Macaca fascicularis: one gene and its partners. The main gene of each other region encodes a partner of the protein of the gene in region 2 in a complex. Links are inferred from orthologs where the notes say so. Each region holds a gene or a part of one and is shown on either strand. Other genes may lie near its edges. The genes, in order: KANK1, EIF4A1 and PDCD4.

Region 1 (4,256 bases), on a different chromosome or scaffold from region 2:
TATGTGCCACCACACCCGGTTATTTTTTATTTTTATTTTTATTTTTTATTTATTTTTTTTTTGAGACGGAGTCTGGCTCTGTCGCCCGGGCTGGAGTGCAGTGGCCGGATCTCAGCTCACTGCAAGCTCCGCCCCCCGGGTTTACGCCATTCTCCTGCCTCAGCCTCCCGAGTAGCTGGGACTACAGGCGCCCGCCGCCTCGCCCGGCTAGTTTTTTGTATTTTTTAGTAGAGACGGGGTTTCACCGTGTTCGCCAGGATGGTCTCGATCTCCTGACCTAGTGATCCGCCCGTCTCGGCCTCCCAAAGTGCTGGGATTACAGGCTTGAGCCACCGCGCCCGGCCGAAGGGTCCAATTTTTCAGACCCACTCTGCTGCTTCAGAATCTGCTCACCCTACAGTTACTCCATCTTAACAGTCCTCAGCTCCCACAAGCACTGCCCCTTTAGGCCATTCTCCCATCCCTCTCCCCAGTTCCTTGCACTGCCCCCAACTAGATCCTTTTCCATCCTCCTCCTCCCACCTGGGCTAAAAAGTTAATGTATGCACACACTAACTCAGAACTATTTATGAACAGACACCGATACTCATGAAATGAAACTAGTCTTCAATGTATCAATTCCAGTAGCCATTTGCCTGTGGTTTTTTGGTTTCTTTCCTTGGGGCCAGTTTGGATATTTAAAAAAATTATTTTTAAGCCTACAGTCTTTTTTCCTTCTAACATTCCCTGCCGAGAGCGCACACAAACACACACCCAGAACTCACTTTTGCTGAGATAGAACCTCGACTAGAGTGATTTATGGACTAGGCAAGTCTAGAGTCCAGAGAGCATCCCTGTGCCCTAAGGGGATAAAATGTATTCCCAATTTGTGTATCTCTAAAGGAGGCAATTATTCCTCTACTGGAAGCTTCTCTTCCATCCTTATTCATTTTAACCTCCCCATAGGACAGTCAATACTTAATTTTTCTTCCATTGCTTCAGCAGCACCTTTCCCCAAACCTAGTAACAGAAAAAGGACCGAAGGTAATAACCTCTCGTTTTCTCACTCAACCTCTATCTTGGAAAAACTTCCTAAGTACCTGCCTTAAAATGAGGGAGAAGGGCTGGGAGATATAAGAATGACTGCTAATCGGTATAGGGTTTCTTTTTGGGGGCAACAAAACAGAACTAGATAGTAGTGATGATTTCATAACTTTATGGATATATTAAAAACCACTGAATTTTACACTTTAGAAGAGTAAATTTTTATGTTTATTACACTTCAACTTTTTAAATAAAACGTGGCACTTCTCAACACTTTAGTAGAGAAAGTTTGATGAAAAGAGAAACTGGCAGATGAATAGCTAGTTAGCTGTTACACCACCTAAAAATGAACTTGAATAAACTCAGGAATCCAAAATAAGCAAACAGACCCTAATTTCCATTCAACTCCAGAGGTGGGGGGCAATGAAGGTGAGGAAAGGAATTGCACGATTATAGATCTGGATGATTAAGCTTCTTTATTAGTCTCGGGTATCAGGGTCTAATAGAATCCATTATTTAATAAGATGGGCTGACCCTCCGTAGAGGCCATGTGCAGAAAGCGAGCGCTGGGGGACGCCATAAATTGTTGTTAACGCTAACACGGCCAAGGCCTTCACTAGGTCATGCTCGTGCAGCACGGCTCGTGCTGACCTGCAAGAGTCACCAAGAACAGTTGCCTCTGAAAGTTCCATGGGACCCAGGTGAAGAAGACGAATGGTCAAGGGGCAGTGGCTGCTGCGAGTGCCACTGCGTGTTCGCCAAAGCGGCATGGAAAACGGGACATTCAGGGGCAAGCCCGCTTAAGGGCCCCTGCACCGTCCTTCGACCTGGAACAGCTGGTCCTCCGAAACCCACGCTGTCCGCGCCCGGCTGGGCTGCCCCCAGAGGCCCTCAGCGCCGCAGCGCCCACACACACCCCTCCCCCACCTCCCCGCCCTCCAACCCTGGCCGGAGCCATCTCGGAGTTGGCGGAGGGCGACCTGAAGCCACCTGCCCCTCTGGGGCCGAGGATAAAGGGGTCTTGACCGCCACTCCCTCCTGCAGAGCACAGCACCGAACTTCACGGAGAGCCGCTTCAGAGAGGGTCCCCCATTCCACCCTGGGCTGGGGAACGGCCTAGAGGCATCCAAAGGCCAGAGCTCCGGGCCGGGGTCGGGCAGGCGCCCGCACCTTCCCGCCGGCCGGCCCAGTACGAACTTTCTCGCTGCTCTGTGCCCAGCGCGCCTCTCCGTCTTCCAGACCGGCCGAGCTCCGCCGCTGCACAGCGCGCCAAACTCCGACGGCCGCGGGGCCGACACCACCTCTCGGACCCCTCCCTAGGACCGCCCCGAGGCCGCCGGGTTCACCCGGGCGAGCGGGAGCCCGCGGGGCTGCCCTCCGCCACCCCCACGGCCACCTTGCGACCCCAGCGCGCGCCAAGTTGGCTCGGCGCGGGGGCCAGCCTGAGGCAGCGGTAGGGGCCTGGCGCTCCGGGGCAAACCCTCAGCGAAAAGGGGCGCAGCGCAACCCTCCCACGTCACTCACCTTCAGCCGCTCTTCCCAACCTGCCAGCCGTTCGCTCGCTCCGCCGCGGACCCGGAGCTCGGGGAGGGGCGGGGCGCAGGGGGCGGAGTCGGCCCCGGCTGGCAAGCGCCAGAATTAAACCCTGAATCGCACAGGAGCCTTCGGGCTCTGCGGCCGCCGCCTGGGCGGGGAAGCTGGGGCAGACCAGCAAGCCTTTCACCCGGGGTGGGAGACAGCTGTGGCTGCGGCTGCACTCCGAAGCGGCGCGTGAGAACGGCGCGGCTGGTGAAGCCCTGACTGCTCCCTCAGTCCCGAGGACGCCCGGCTCTCCGCCGCGCGCTCTTTGTACCGCGGAGCCGGCAGCGGGCGGATCTCTGCGCCTGCGCGCCGCTGCAACTACACCAGGCCCACGAGGCACCTTCGTGCACCTTCGCCGCCTCGCCTGGCCCGCGGGCCTTGCCGCGGCAAGAATTAAGCAGAAGAGCTTCCTCCACCCCGGCTTGCTCCTTCTACCAACCTGTGTTTACCACCTCCATCCTCGCACACACACACGCAAGGGGAAAAGAAATCCACCCCACCGTGAGACGGTGCGGTCCTCCCATCTCCGACTGGGGCGGGCGGGGGGTCCTGGCAACGAGGATGGCCTTGCAACGTCCACCCCAGCGCGTTTGTACCGCCCCTCCCTCCACGCTGCTAAGAAGTTTGCTGACCGCGGATGAGAGAGGGACGGGAGCGTGCAGCGCTGTTTCCCACAGGTGCCTCATCAGCGGCCAGAAACCTCCCGCCTACAAGGGCACCTCCCTTGTGACCTCCGTGCATTCGTCCTGGCTCGGCGGCAGGACAGAGTCCTCAGTGGAAAGGGGAGGATGCGTGTTCAGAAGGTTCCAGGTGTCTAGGGGCTCCATAGAAGACCCAATGCCTGCCTCGGGGACTCAGGATTGAACTGGCTTCCTAGTTCAGTCCTAAATACGCGATTTGGAGCAATCCAGTAGGTACAAGAGAAATTAGTAGGGATTGAGAAGTTGTAACTTTAGTCTTTCAAATTGAAGGTAGCTAGAATAAACAGAAGAGCTTGGGAACAGAAGGAACGACTTTATAAAAACCAGGTATTGCTTAAAAAACAATGTCAGCTCTTCAATCAACTGATTTTCTTAAGGGGGAGAGTCCTCCCCTCACCCCCAAGCTCTCTAGCACCGCACACATCCAGCAGGGCGTTGCACACGCTTAGTCTTTTTTGCAAGTGTGCAAGTGAAGAGCCATCAAACTTTACAAGGCAACATGCTTGCCTCTGGGGAGAAGACGCTGCTTCCCCACAGTTCACAGCGAAGCACACCTGCAAATTCCTGAACTTGATGGCTCCTGACTGTTTAGGGAATAGGTAAAGGGCAGCTGGAAGAGATGTGAAGGCAGGAAACCTCATTTTGAATCTCAGCCCCTTTGCCAGCTCACTGGGTGGCAGTAAACAAACTCTTTCCTCCTCCTGGGCCTTTTTCATCTGTAGAATAGGGCATTGGATGCAGTAGATATTTTCTAAAATCCCCCCCCCCCACCACCACCACTCCGCCCCAAATGTCTACTATTCTATGAAAAGGAGAATTGTTTCCATGGTGATAAGGGATGAGATATCAGAGGCAGCAGGACTCCTGCATTTAAAAAGTACTCGTGGGCCGGGTGCGGCGGCTCAGTCCTATAATCCTCGCACTTTGGGAGGCAGAGGCAGGTGGATCACT
Region 2 (2,342 bases):
CACGCCCAGCTAATTTTTTTGTATCTTTTAGTAGAGATGGGGTTTCACCATGTTAGCCAGGATGGTCTCGGTCTCCCAACCTCATGATCCACCCGCCTCAGCCTCCCAAAGTGCTGGGATTACAGGTGTGAGCCACCACGCCCAGCCGGACAGTCCTTTTTTCACCTTGGCTTAATGCCTAGAGCTGTTTCATGCCGGGGGCACACACAATTCTAATGCTGGACTTTTTCTGGGTCATGCTGCGACACTCATCTCAACTAGAGTATTGAGGCTCAGCATGTTTTTTAAATGTTCTGTGGCAGGTGCAATGATTATTCTGGGTGTGGATAATGTAAGAAGTTACAGCAGAGCTCCATTCTAAGGCACTTGGCTCTCAGTTTTCTCAGAGTGAACATGGCTCGTAGCTTTTGGTCCTCTGGTAGGAGTACAATAGGACATGGATATGCATCACCTGTTCTATAAAACTGGTTGCTGGCCGGGCGCGGTGGCTCACTTGTGTAATCCCAACACTTTGGGAGGCTGAGGCAGGCAGACCACTTGAGATCAGGAGTTGGAGACCAGCCTGGCCAACATAGTGAAACCCCATCTCTACTAGAAATATAAAAACTAGTTGGGCGTAGTGGCATGTGCCTGTTATCCCAGCTACTTGGGGGAGGCTCAGGCAGGAGAATTTAACCCAGGAGGCGGAGGCTGCAGTGAGCCGAGATTGTGCCATTGCACTCCAGCCTGGGCGATGAGCAAAGCTCTGTTTCAAAAAAAACAAAACAAAACTGGTTGCTGCATGACGAGGCAGTTGGTCAAATTAGCTTTCAGAAAGTTACGGGTTCTAAACATCTAGAGTAAGAAACTGAATTAATTATCTGAGCGGCCTTACTGTGAATCACTGTACACTCAGGAACCAGACTGAGTTGAAATCCTGTCTTTGCCACCTATTGACAGCACGATCTTAAGTGGATTTTAGCCTCTGCCTGTTTCTCAGCTGAATGTGAGTGTAATAATAGTGCATGCCCCAAAGTTGTTGGTTAGGAATAAATACATGAAAAACATTTAAGAATGGTGCCGGCCGGGCGCGGTGGCTCACGCCTGTAATCCCTGCACTTTGGGAGGCCGAGGCGGACGGATCACGAGGTCAGGAGATCGAGACCATCCTGGCTAACACGGTGAAACCCCGTCTCTACTAAAATACAAAAAATTAGCCGGGCGTGGTGGCGGGCGCCTGTAGTCCCAGCTACTCGGGAGGCTGAGGCAGGAGAATGGCGCGAACCTGGGAGGCGGAGCTTGCAGTGAGCCGAGATGGTGCCACTGCACTCCAGCCTGGGCGACAGAGTGAAGACTCCGCCTCAAAAAAAAAAAAAAAAAAAAAAAAAAGGAATGGTGCCTGGCACAGCTGTAGCTAATATGTGAGCACCTATCTTTCTCTGTGCTCAGATACAGAAGGTGGTCATGGCACTAGGAGACTACATGGGTGCCTCCTGTCATGCCTGTATTGGGGGCACCAACGTGCGTGCTGAGGTGCAGAAACTGCAGATGGAAGCCCCCCACATAATCGTGGGGACCCCTGGCCGAGTGTTTGATATGCTTAACCGGAGATACCTGTGTGAGTAATTCTGTTCTCCAACCCCTGGGTCACTTCGCTCTTGTGCATGCTTTCCAGTCTTTCAGTGTAAGCCAAAGTCATTCCCACAGATGCTGGTTTCCCTCTGGGGAAGAGCTGCTCTGTGATGGAGCCCATGCGTGTCATCTGAGCCTCTGGCTTCCCTGCCAGTGCAGCCCAGGCAGTGTCCTACTTCCCAGGGCTGTTTTCTGGCTTGGCGGGAACGTCCTGGGCAAAGGATCAGTCTTTGTACTCTGAGAGCAGACTACTCGGCCCCTCTCTGTTTTTTATCAACAAAGTTGGATACATCTCTCCTACATTTCCCTGATTATATGCTATATATTGGCTTTTTTTTCCTTCTCTAGCTCCCAAATACATCAAGATGTTTGTACTGGACGAAGCTGACGAAATGTTAAGCCGTGGATTCAAGGACCAGATCTATGACATATTCCAAAAGCTCAACAGCAACACCCAGGTGAGGGCGGCCTTGCTTGAATCGTTAATGATTCTGGAAGAAAAATATTAAGTGCCAGGGGAACCAAACTCTGGATTCTTGTCCTGAGCCTTTTTATGCATCCACTTCAGTTTTAGGTGTGGCTAGGGAAGGGAGCAGACCTTGGGAAGGATCCACTGCTCTAAGGCTGGCCTTTTTTTCCACTAGGTAGTTTTGCTGTCAGCTACAATGCCTTCTGATGTGCTTGAGGTGACCAAGAAGTTCATGAGGGACCCCATTCGGATTCTTGTCAAG
Region 3 (3,649 bases), on a different chromosome or scaffold from region 2:
AAGGGCTCTAACTACATTTTGAACTCCTTAACACTTAAGCTAGATACACATACACACACACACCCCTCATTAAAAGATTTACTAAAAATCAAAATTACAGTTACATGAAAAGATTATACTCAAAAATCAGAAGCACATGAACTACAAATCTTCTAGTTGCATGCCTTTTCTTAAAGAGATCTGCAGATAAGGAGTTTTTTTTGTTTTTTGGTTTCTTGTTACAGAATACCACAATACAGCCAGAAAAAAAAAAATCCACAGGAAATAAATCTGGCATTTTAATGCAATAAATCGCTTTTTTTTTTTTTTTTCTGAGACACAATCTTGTTCTGTCACCCATGCTGGAGTACAGTGGCGTGATCTTGGCTCACTGCAACCTCCGCCTCCTGGGTTCAAGCAATACTGGTGCCTCGGCCTCCTGAGTAGCTGGGATTACAGGTGCGCACCACCATGCCTGACTAATTATTATGTACTTTTAGTAGAAATGGGGTTTCACCATGTTGACAAGGCTGGTCTCGAACTCCTGGCCTCAAGCAATCCACCTGCCTCAGCCTCTCAAAGTACTGGGATTACTATCAATTTTCTTTTAAAACACGCATATGGGTAGTGAACGTCCTCACAAAAATCTAACACTCTGATCTACTCTAGTGCTCATAATTCCTAACTCATTATTTAAGACTATCTAGTTTTAATTTACTTATATAAAAGCATATTTATTGAATAGCTAAAAGACAGAAAATCTCATTTCAACAGCATTTGAAAATTATTAAATAATAATATGAGAGAAAGATTTCAGGCATTCCTTTGAAGTTCATAGATGGCTTGCTTATAATTATTCATGAAAGCCCTTTTAACAGACTCATTTTTTATCATATAATTTATAATAAAAGCTCATAAAGTCAAATATAAAAGAATTATTTCATTTTCCAATTACAGCTGTAAGACCGAACTTAATTTTTGTCCATAAAAATAACAGCTAGTAGCCACAATTTATTTCACTCAGAGGAATACATGTAAATTAAGTTAAAGACAATACCCAATCATTACCTCTTTAACAAGGTGATTGACAGATTGCTGCCCACCTCCAGAGCCCCACACACTATCTTTACGCTTTCCACCTTTAGACATGCTCAGAAGCACAGTAGCCTTATCCAGAGCAGCTCTACAGAGAAAGAAAAAAAATTTAAGTTTGGTAGCTGGACATACCTAAAGTTTACCAAATTATGGATAAAGCTTACAAAATCCTATATGCCCTAAATCTTTCACAAAACATAAAAGCAAAATAAAATTCAAAACACTTTTTCAAAACAAAAAGGAGCAAAAAAAGTTGATCCTCATGTTAATATTCTCATGCTTTATTTCATTTCTCCTTCAAGAAAAATCAAAACACATTACAAAATAACTGATCTACACTGAGAAGAAGCACTTCATATATAATTAACTTTCACCTAGATCCATGTCTTCCTACCCAGGAAGACCATTTCACTATGATGTGAAGTAGCCCTAGAAAATTAATATACAGACCTAAGGAAAACTAAGACATGGCTGAGTCCAAGTCTCCAAGAAGTCAAGAAAAATCATATAGCATAACTCCCAAATATCACATTTAGTTATTCCAAATATCATATTAATTATACTAAATCACAAGAGTGAAAAAGACATTTTCTGACTAAAATTCCTACAGTAGATAAATACAAAATAAAACTATAAATGAGGCCTCTCTTGTTAATGTTATCCATCTTATTAGAATATTAAACTACTACAGAATGCTAGAACCTGAAAACAGAACTTAAAAGATCTGTCCAATGGCTTTGTTTCATAAAGAAACTGAGGCCCAAAGAAGAGTGGCTTGACATGAAGGTAATTAATGATTTAGCTAAACTCCAGAACTTTTGCATTATAGTACTGTCCTCTTCCTGGTATGTCACGTCAACATTCTCTCCATTTTAACAGTGGAGAATATAGAGAAGTGACAAACAGATGTACAGAGTGTTTGATTAATGCCAAGTGTCATTTCAATATGATCCTGTAGAATTTTCCCCTATTTTGAAATTCTAAGCAGGAAAAGTGATTTACTTACCTAGCCTGCACACAATCTACAGTTCCTTTGTAACTATCAATATAGGTATTACATAAAATTCCATCTCCAACAGCTCTAGCAATAAACTGGCCCACCAACTGTAATAAGGAAAAAAAAAAAGAGCTATATAAAAAAATCTTAAATAACTTTTATAGGACACAATTTCTAAATACATAAATGATGATGATTGGCTGAAGTACACAGTCAGTACCTGAAAGATGCTGGAAGTTTTTTTAAAAAAAAAGCCTATGTAGTACCTGTTATGCCTGGCATACACTCCCACATCTTAACCTTCAAGTTAAGTGCCAGAGTGGGGGCCACCTCTGTTGTGCTCACTAATGAATTCCTACCACCTTGCACACTGCCTGAATACATAGTACATGATTTTTTTTTTTTTTTTTTTGAGACAGAGTCTCGCTCTGTCACCCAGGCTGGAGTGCAGTGGCGTGATCTCAGCTCACTGCAACCTCCACCTCCCGGGTTCAAGTAATTCTTCGGCCTCAGCCTCCCAAGTGGCTGGGACTACAGGCGCACGCCACCATGCCTGGCTAATTTTCACATTTCTAGTAGAGACGGGGTGTCACCATCTTGGCCAGGCTGGTCTCAAACTCCTGACCTCGTGATTTGCCTGCCTCAGCCTCGCAAAGTGCTGGGGTTAAATGAATGATTTAAGGTCAAGTGAAGTCTTCTTAAAAAAAAAAAAAGAGGAGGCCGGGCGCGGTGGCTCAAGCCTGTAATCCCAGCACTTGGGGAGGCCGAGACGGGCGGATCACGAGGCCAGGAGATCGAGACCATCCTGGCTAACACGGTGAAACCCCGTCTCTACTAAAAAATACAAAAAACTAGCCGGGCAAGGTGGTGGGCGCCTGTAGTCCCAGCTACTCGGGAGGCTGAGGCAGGAGAATGGCCTAAACCCAGGAGGCAGAGCTTGCAGTGAGCTGAGATCCGGCCACTGCACCCCAGCCTGGGCGACAGAGCAAGACTCTGTCTCAAAAAAAAAAAAAAAAAAAAAAAAAAGACTAGGTTCTCTCAAAAACTAATCAAAGGAATTTATCTTGTGGAGAAAGAAAAGTTGTATAGAAATAGCTGGAAGTATGTTCACAGCATTACTTATTATAAAAAATGGAAATTAGTGTCCAAAAATAAAGCTATGGTTCAATGGTATATATGTAAAATGGTATATTATGTGGCCACAGGGAAAGATATTTACCATATTTCATGGTATGAGAAAAATCAAGTTTACAAAATAGCATACATGGTATGATTCCATTTTTTTAATTTAAAAAAATTAAGGATTTATAGAAGTCATACACTGATATATACCCACAGAAAGGAGAATGGAAAACTTAACACCAGTAGCAGTTTTTGCTGGCCTTTCTTCTTTCCGGCTTTTATTTTTCAAAAATTCTACAATAAATATAAACTTATATAATCATTTTGTTACAGTACGTGTATTGGTATAAAAGGAAAAAATGTCTGCATTAGAATCACCACTCAATATCTCATACAGACTACTGTCTGTCATAAGTATAACAGAAACAGCATTTAGGAACTGACATGCCTATATTC

Evidence for each region.
Region 1: the proteins of EIF4A1 (region 2) and KANK1 are in contact, whole or in part, in a crystal structure (PDB 7DDX), measured with the Mus musculus proteins. The link is inferred for Macaca fascicularis from reciprocal best matches to the Homo sapiens genes EIF4A1 and KANK1. Residues at the interface, in NP_659207.1 of Mus musculus: Lys99, Val140, Arg141, Val144, Gln145, Lys146, Leu147, Gln148, Met149, Glu150, Ala151, Arg168, Arg169, Tyr170, Ser172; in NP_852069.4 of Mus musculus: Gly1168, Asn1169, Asn1171, His1175, Tyr1176, Val1178, Asn1201, Lys1202, Ala1203, Tyr1205, Met1209, Leu1210, Leu1213, Ala1214, Ala1215, Gln1240, Ala1241, Leu1248, Ser1251, His1252, Arg1254, Asp1273, Glu1274, His1285.
Region 3: the proteins of EIF4A1 (region 2) and PDCD4 are in contact, whole or in part, in a crystal structure (PDB 2ZU6), measured with the Homo sapiens proteins. The link is inferred for Macaca fascicularis from reciprocal best matches to the Homo sapiens genes EIF4A1 and PDCD4. Residues at the interface, in NP_001407.1 of Homo sapiens: Gln75, Thr109, Arg110, Glu111, Ile135, Gly137, Val140, Thr158, Gly160, Arg161, Asp164, Glu186, Leu188, Ser189, Arg190, Gly191, Phe192, Gln195, Ala214, Thr215, Met216, Pro217, Glu240, Leu241, Thr242, Asn280, Thr281, Arg282, Arg283, Thr329; in NP_055271.2 of Homo sapiens: Pro170, Gln173, Glu174, Glu177, His178, Glu183, Glu186, Met187, Asp190, Leu209, Glu210, Lys212, Glu249, Leu250, Leu252, Asp253, Thr254, Pro255, Arg256, Gly320, Gln321, Gln322, Ser323, Val324, Leu327, Glu348, Lys352, Glu355, Val356, Pro357.

What each region holds. Positions count from the first base shown.
Region 1 is NC_088389.1:98,618,855-98,623,110, forward strand, and holds the start of KANK1 (KN motif and ankyrin repeat domain-containing protein 1), read right to left. Parts: upstream 2,846-4,256; 5' UTR 2,548-2,845; intron 1-2,547.
Region 2 is NC_088390.1:7,624,691-7,627,032, forward strand, and holds part of EIF4A1 (eukaryotic initiation factor 4A-I), read left to right. Parts: intron 1-1,428; coding exon 1,429-1,597; intron 1,598-1,713; exon of another isoform or gene 1,714-1,856; intron 1,857-1,959; coding exon 1,960-2,069; intron 2,070-2,255; coding exon 2,256-2,342. UniProt on the Homo sapiens protein: ATP-dependent RNA helicase which is a subunit of the eIF4F complex involved in cap recognition and is required for mRNA binding to ribosome.
Region 3 is NC_088383.1:119,976,262-119,979,910, reverse strand, and holds part of PDCD4 (programmed cell death protein 4), read right to left. Parts: intron 2,179-3,649; coding exon 2,081-2,178; intron 1,163-2,080; coding exon 1,048-1,162; intron 1-1,047. UniProt on the Homo sapiens protein: Inhibits translation initiation and cap-dependent translation. May excert its function by hindering the interaction between EIF4A1 and EIF4G. Inhibits the helicase activity of EIF4A. Modulates the activation of JUN kinase.